2 linked regions of the Caenorhabditis elegans genome follow. The protein of the gene in region 2 interacts with the protein of the main gene of each other region in a pairwise test. Each region holds a gene or a part of one and is shown on either strand. Other genes may lie near its edges. The genes, in order: gen-1 and wdr-23.

Evidence for each region.
Region 1: the proteins of wdr-23 (region 2) and gen-1 interact in a two-hybrid assay, tested with the Caenorhabditis elegans proteins (one study listed by BioGRID).

Annotation. Positions count from the first base shown.
Region 1 is NC_003281.10:6,246,232-6,250,158, forward strand, and holds the start of gen-1 (GEN1 Holliday junction resolvase homolog), read right to left. Parts: upstream 1,928-3,927; 5' UTR 1,917-1,927; coding exon 1,829-1,916; intron 1,783-1,828; coding exon 1,692-1,782; intron 1,637-1,691; coding exon 1,555-1,636; intron 1,501-1,554; coding exon 1,411-1,500; intron 1,361-1,410; coding exon 1,126-1,360; intron 1,072-1,125; coding exon 906-1,071; intron 855-905; coding exon 741-854; intron 692-740; coding exon 508-691; intron 461-507; coding exon 258-460; intron 99-257; coding exon 47-98; 3' UTR 1-46. Other genes in the region: Dolichyl-diphosphooligosaccharide--protein glycosyltransferase subunit stt-3, read left to right, coding at 2,416-3,109, 3,165-3,641, 3,693-3,913.
Region 2 is NC_003279.8:7,594,430-7,598,356, reverse strand, and holds the start of wdr-23 (DDB1- and CUL4-associated factor 11 homolog), read right to left. Parts: upstream 1,851-3,927; 5' UTR 1,832-1,850; coding exon 1,747-1,831; intron 1,688-1,746; coding exon 1,611-1,687; intron 1,344-1,610; exon of another isoform or gene 1,184-1,343; coding exon of another isoform or gene 1,145-1,183; intron 62-1,144; coding exon 1-61. Other genes in the region: D2030.8 (PC-esterase domain-containing protein 1B), read right to left, coding at 3,655-3,735, 3,782-3,927. UniProt on the Caenorhabditis elegans protein: Involved in regulation of lifespan. Required for dopaminergic CEP neuron degeneration in response to Mn(2+). Inhibits the skn-1-mediated up-regulation of tatn-1.

The sequences.
Region 1 (3,927 bases), on a different chromosome or scaffold from region 2:
TTTTAAATTCGAAATATGAGTAATTTGGATGAACTTTTTTTGTATATTAATCCGAGTCGCCAAGTTCGATGACATCAGTGGGATATGGCTTGAAGGCACTGCAATAAAACCGTTTAATTGTTTTTTTTTAACGGGAAACAAACTTTAAAAATAAGTTATTTTGCACGAAAATATTAATTTTGAGTGATTTCGAAATAGATTTTTCGTTTTACAATTTTTATTGTCAAATGTTCATAATTTTTCCAACAAAGTCTCACCGTATTTTTACAGATCGCTTTCTGTCTGGAACCTGTCGTTTCGCATGGTGTTGTAAAATTTGTGGAGATTCTGATCGTTTTCGTTTTCTCATCCAAGTATTATTTGCAGAAATGTAGTCTTCAAGTGATTCACATGGCTCTACGATCGGTGTGAAATTCTTCGATTTGGTGGCAGCAAAGAAATCAGGAATTCGAGTTTGAGCCTGGAAATATATACATTTTTGTGAATATTCTAAAATTATTTGCTCACCACAGTTGTCGTCAGATGCACTTTTCTCCGAATACTAAGAGCTAATTCTTTCTGTGTTCTTGTTGCTGGCCAACCACATTCCTTCATCATAATCTCTGCGACTTGTTGAAAATTTGCAGCTCTTGGAATAATTTTCGGAATTTCACTTGATACGGGTGGCCGAAGATACATCGTAATTGCATTGCTGAAAATTAAAAAAAAAATAGATACAGCAACTTCTAATAAAAACTAACTGTACGGCATCACAATTAGGAAATCCAACAGGAAAATTATACTTTTTTCGTCGTAAACGAAGCTTCCGTTGGGTGTCTTCTGAACGAGCTGGAATTTCTTCGCGTACGTATGACCTGAATAATAATAATAAAATATTCATAATAAACACAGTTAGAACAGCTTACGCAAAACGATCTAAAATCACATGAGGATCTATTTCTTCATTTCCGTCGTCACCAAATTCTCCCAGAATATCAAAAACCGAGACAATTCCAATGTTTTGAACACCACGTTGAAAATAGTCGCAACCGAGAAGAATTGCAGTTGAAATTAGATGAGGACGGGAGACTTCTGAAACAACTTTTTAACGATTACTTTATTTTTTCAACGCTGAAAACTACTTACTTTTCTCCATAAACATTCTTCCCAGGGAAAGATGCATGATGTCATGAAGACAAGCGGTGGAAGAAGTGCCGGCGGTAAAGTCAAATCTGTACAAATTCTTTCCGCCAAACAAAAAGTAATCGAAATCTGTCGTTATACAACCACTTGTCACTCCGAGATCTTCTAACCGTGCACATTGAGCTTCACCATCTCCTGGAGCAATGATGACTTTTATCCCAAGTTCTGTGAGAAGAGCCTGGAATTTTTTTCTAATTTACAGGTTATAATATTTAAAAAAAAACATACATTTGTTTTGTACACATGATCCACTAAATTTGTAAACGGAGAGTCTCCAAAACTTCGCCTCTTTCGTGGCACAAATTCGTTCTGATCTTTCTGAAATTTTGAAGTTAATTTTCAAATACACGTTTTCACTCAATTCCTTCCTACCGATTCATGAGCAGATGAACTTGCGTTAATATTGTCGAAAACAACAATAGGAATAATTTTTAGCTCCAAGAGGCGTTGGATTCTGCAAAAAAACGTTAGATATAGTAATTTCGGAACATTTAAAATAATATTCTTACCTTGTGAAAAATGTGACCAGGTAGCTGTTAGGAGTTTGTTGATGATGAGCTTCACAGCCTTTCAGGCTTTCGTATAACCAAATGTGGCCATCTGAACATTTTTTTTTTAAATTTGAAATTAAACTTTAATCACTCACCGATCGATAATGTCTTATCGCGCATGGTCTCATTTGGCACTTTTCGAACTACGTGGTTCGCCCACTCCCATATCCCGTTAATAGTCATTCTAGTAGCATCTAAAAGTGAGGGAAATGAGGGAAAATTCGAAAAATAATCGAAAATAGAGGAAGAGAGGAGCCCGCGTCAGTTAATGTGCGCGTAAATCGACATGAGAGACGACGAGGGACGGGTCTCACCACGATCTTGCGTCTTTTGAATTTGCCACGACTACACACCGTTGGAGAATGGCTCCAAATTGCTCGATTTCTTTTGTTTTTCATGCCATTTTACGATATCTTTGTGAGAAATACATTGAGAATTTTTATTAGTAACATGAATAACATAAAATAATACATGAATGGAGCAAGTTGCGCTCAAAATATTAGGCTTTGTTTTAACCTTTCGTGTCCAAAAATCTATTTAATGGTTATTGTTTTTTTCTGCAATCATTTGTGATGAGAAAAGCTATTTATTAAAAAACACAATTTCCAATATTCATTCCTTCCTATGACTATTTCGTCCACGTCAACTATATTCAAAACTCAAGAATTTCTCTTTTCAGGTAATGACATCAACAACGGCGGCTCGAACAGCGAGTAGTCGCGTCGGAGCGACAACTCTTCTTACCATCGTCGTACTGGCTCTGGCATGGTTCGTCGGATTCGCCTCCCGCCTTTTCGCCATCGTCCGCTTTGAGTCGATTATCCACGAGTTCGATCCATGGTTTAACTATCGCGCTACACATCATATGGTTCAACATGGTTTCTATAAATTCTTGAATTGGTTTGATGAGCGTGCCTGGTATCCACTTGGTCGTATTGTCGGAGGAACTGTATATCCAGGACTCATGGTAACATCTGGATTAATTCACTGGATTTTGGATTCCCTTAACTTCCATGTTCACATTCGTGAAGTTTGCGTATTTCTGGCTCCAACATTCTCTGGCCTGACTGCCATTGCCACCTATCTACTTACAAAGGAGTTGTGGAGCCCAGGAGCTGGTCTTTTCGCCGCTTGCTTCATTGCTATTTCTCCAGGATATACCTCCCGTTCAGTTGCTGGATCCTATGATAACGAGGGAATTGCCATCTTTGCTCTTCAATTCACGTATTATTTATGGGTGAAATCGCTCAAGACCGGATCGATTATGTGGGCTTCGTTATGTGCCCTTTCATACTTTTACATGGTTTCCGCATGGGGAGGATATGTTTTCATTATCAACTTGATTCCACTTCACGCTTTGGCTCTCATCATCATGGGTAATTAAAAAAAAAATTAAATGCAATTTATCAGTCGCAAAAATTTTTATTTCAGGTCGCTACTCGTCCCGTCTGTTTGTTTCCTACACATCGTTCTATTGCCTTGCCACCATCCTCTCGATGCAAGTTCCATTTGTAGGATTCCAACCAGTTCGTACTTCCGAGCACATGCCAGCTTTTGGAGTATTTGGTCTTCTTCAAATTGTTGCTCTCATGCACTACGCTCGCAACCGCATCACCCGGCAACAATTCATGACTCTCTTTGTGGGAGGATTGACCATTTTGGGAGCTCTCTCCGTTGTTGTTTATTTCGCATTGGTTTGGGGAGGATATGTCGCTCCATTCTCTGGACGTTTCTACTCTCTCTGGGACACCGGATACGCGAAAATTCATATTCCAATCATTGCTTCTGTCTCTGAACATCAGCCAACAACCTGGGTATCATTCTTCTTCGATCTCCATATTACCGCTGCTGTGTTCCCAGTTGGATTGTGGTATTGTATTAAGAAGGTCAACGATGAGCGTGTTTTCAGTAAGTCTAAACAATTCTGGATATGAATATTTTTAAAATTTCGTTTTTCAGTTATCCTGTACGCTGTGTCTGCGGTTTACTTCGCCGGAGTCATGGTCCGTCTCATGCTCACCCTCACTCCAGCTGTTTGTGTGCTCGCCGGTATCGGATTCTCTTACACTTTCGAGAAATACTTGAAGGACGAAGAAACAAAAGAGCGTTCTTCTTCTCAGTCAGGAACCACAAAGGACGAGAAGTTGTACGATAAAGCCGCCAAGAACGTCAAATCCAGGGTACCTGAAAGTGT
Region 2 (3,927 bases):
TCATCTTCGGACATCCTTCATCGTCCGACGAGAAGTCTGTGTCACTGTCATTGCTGTGATTCTGAAATTAAAAATGAGGTTAGATACTCGAACAATATCATTTAGTGAACAGATCATTTGCTAGTTTTGCATTGTTGTATTTCACACGTGACCAATGAATGTGCGTGTTGAGTGATGAAAGAGAAGACCCGTGTTGCGTCAGTCAGTTTACTTGAATTTCAAATTACGAATCGAATTAGTTTGTAAGAAGGAAATGAAATTTCTAAAAATTCATCAAAATGCTCCTAAACATCGGGAAAATGTGTTAAGGAGGAGGGTGGAGCCACGGGAGGCAACGGGCGGTTACTGTAGGTCGAGGGGGAGCGAATTGTCATCATGGGTCACCAATTGCATAAAACGAAAAGAAGACTTCATGGTTTGTAGTCAGAATTCTTGAATAAATGGTGGGAATTGTATGATTCGTAGTTTAATTGTAGGCTTTTATAGTTGAAGTCCCCCAAAATCTCAAAGTCATCAAAAATTCTGACAAATCTTCTTTTTAAAAATGGAACTTATAGTACAAACCAATTCAAATGATCTTTAATGTTGAGCTTAAAGTTCAGTGAGATGAAGTTTGTCATCATTTTTTTTTTCAGAAAGCTTCAAATGATCATCCCTACAAAATATGCTTAAATTTGCAGAAATCAAATGACTATAGAGCAATTTCAACACGGAACTATGTATATGATTATTTTATCTGTAGCTTCATATATATTTTCTTTTATTATTTCTGATAAAAGCTAGACCGCTAAAATAGAGCAAAATATGGAATTTTTAGCGAAAGTCGAAGTCTTTATCTGTTAATTTATAATTTTTATCAAATTTCGAAATAACAAAACTATACTGCATTCATTATAAAATCATCAACTCAAACAATGAAACTACATACTTTTCAAATAGAATCCACTCTTATCAATTCCTGATAAATCTTGGTCATATCCAAAGATCAAAAGTTCAAAGGAAACGAAGGAAGAAACAAAACAATTTAGACGATCTCGATTAAAAAAAACCAGTTTCTCGTCAATCGATTGACGCCGATTACTACACTCTAGTGAACACAAAGTTCCGCATCATTTTTTTTATTGGTTTACTCAACAAAGCTTACCCTTTTCAGATTTGAAGAGGAATGTCTTTTGTAAGGCATAGACGTTGAATACGAAATGAAGATTCGTTTTTTCAGACAAAAATAATATTAATTTAGAGAAATGTAGCAAAATTTGGGCCTAAAAGGAAGGGAGGCGCGGTAAAAATTGAGAGAATGAGAGTGTAAGAGGGAAATCAGAGAAGACAGGTCGCCCGTCTGCGCCTCTTCGATTGGCGCGATCGGGCTGTCAGGCTCCACCCACTTGCGGAAGAATCAGTTGATTTTTTGTATGTTTTGTGATGACAAATGACGACACAACATACTATGTGTTCGCTACACATTTTTATTTATTGATTTTCAGGATAATTTGCTTTTAATTTGAGTTTATATTTTCAATGAATAGACATTTTATAAATGTTAATTTTGCAAAAGCATTTTAAATTTCGCTTAACTTCATATTATATCCCTATGGATCAAGTAAACCTACCGGTTTCATCCTTTGATGAGCCACGATTTCTGCAGCTGTCCGCACGGAATACGCCGGACTTTGGTTGCTGTGTTGGACTGAAAACATGTGGTTTGTAGTTTTTGTGACTAGCATCTCACTTCCTCTTCTCGCTTACCTCTTGTATATTCGAGAAATCGGTTGGGCTGATGACGTTGAAAAAGATCAAATCGGAGGAACGTCGACGTTATCCAGTTGCCCATTCGAGCATAGGGCGAAGCACTGTAGCGAGAGAACAAGTTTTTTTTCAGATTTTGTCAGCACACACAAAACTACAGACGGTTGAATGTGAATGAGTGAGGGATTGTCATCAAAACACGAGTAAAGAGGGAAATTGATGACAATTAATAAGGGAGACTTGAATGATAGGGTTGATATGGCTGACTACTGGGAAGCACCGACTAAGCAGGAAATCAGAAAGAGGCAGGAGAAAGTGGTAAACAAGAAATTGGTAGAGCAGGAAATTCAAGTCTCTAAATATAATATCTACTGTATATTTTTCTTATTGATACTGCGAAAATTTCCACAAGAATTAGATGCCTTTGCCTCTTAAGTAGGCTCCGCCCACTGAGAAAGTGAAAACAACCATTTTGAAAATTCTTAATTATAAGAGTAATTTTAAACGAACTGCTCAGAAAACTATTCAATAAATTCTTTTTTTGCTTTATGCATCACTAAAACACGTGATCATCTGATAACGTGACTTTTGTGAAGTTGCATAATTAACAAACAATGTTATTAGATAAAAAGATTGGAAATCTCAAACTACTTTCACATGAATAGGCACTGATTCTATATTAAATATCATCATTTAATTGAATAAATGTTCGTTTTGACCCTTACGGGAACCTCAGGGCTTCCCATCCGGCTCGGTGTAGACGCAGAAAGCGAAACAATTCACGCGTCTTTCACTCGTTCTCCGAAAGAATTGAAACGAAAAATCAATATTCGATAAAACACATGATGATATTAGAGAGACACACAAACACTCACAAGAAACTCAAACAATTCCAGCAGGCGAAAAAAAAAGATGAACGCGTAGCCGATCTCTGTGTCTATAGAAAACAAAGTCTCTGCACAGCACGCTGACAAAAATGATGACAATTCACCGCGAGGAGGCTAACTGCGAAAGTGTTATGTGTGGAGAGACAGATGTGGAGAATGAAGATAGTGAATGAAACGAAGAGAGTATAGAGGTACGACGTAGTCATTGAGTGGTGGAGAAGTTGGAAGGAAGATGATGAGAATGACTTCTTCGTTCTATTCCATGGAAGGGATCTTTGAGATCAAGTTAAGAAGGTTCATTAATTGATTTCATCTATTAGCTATAACTTTCTTCTGTATAATTTTCTTTTTTTTCGGAAAATTTATATTTTTAAGGAAAGTTTAGCACAATTTAAAAGTTGTTATCGTACGTTTATAAGATTTTGACATGCGATCTGAAAGGCGCATGCATTTATTCAAATGGGTCTCGGCACGCATTATAATTTATGGTATTCTTTTTTTTTTAATTTTTGCGGCAGCTTCGTTTATTTTCCTGGCATTTTTAATGAAAGTTTCCTCGTTTTTATTTTATCTTTTACATGGAAAAGATCCGAGGAAGCAGGCACAAAACTACAATACATTTTTGTGCACCGAGACTCATCTGAATAAGCCTGTGAGCCTTTTAGAAGACATGTTAAATTAAAAATAGAAAGTTAGAAAAATTGTGTTTCAAATATTTTTTAAGATTTGAGCAGTTCCAAGTATTTTTTTCGAATTTACGAGGAAAAATCATTCTTCACAATTGAGTTTTTAAAGAAACTGACAAATTGTGAGTTCATTAATGAATAATTAAAATTACTATTATCTCTTGTTCAGTTTGAACGGGAACTAGTAATTTTTAAGAATTTGAAAACAATTAAATAAAATTTTACACCAAATAATGGTTTGTAAAATGTTGGGAAATAAAATTTCGGAGTAAAAAGCCTGAGACATATTACATGTAACTGTTTAACACCCGTTGGGAACACATTGTACACATAGATTAACGATATTCGTGACGAGATCCGGAGAAGCGACGTCGTTTTCGATACTGACTTGACGAAGGTGGACTGGCGTCGGCGATCTGAAATTAGAATGAATTCAGAATTTAAAATATGCATCATACGAACTCTATAAGGATTATTGCCATTTATAAAATGACCCGGAGTTGGTCCATTATGAGGATTTGGTAGAAGTGCTGGTTTTTTTACACCTTCATGGATTCGCTTCTGGCTTGTGGCTACTCGCAGACCCACTGTTCTACCTTTCCAGTTTT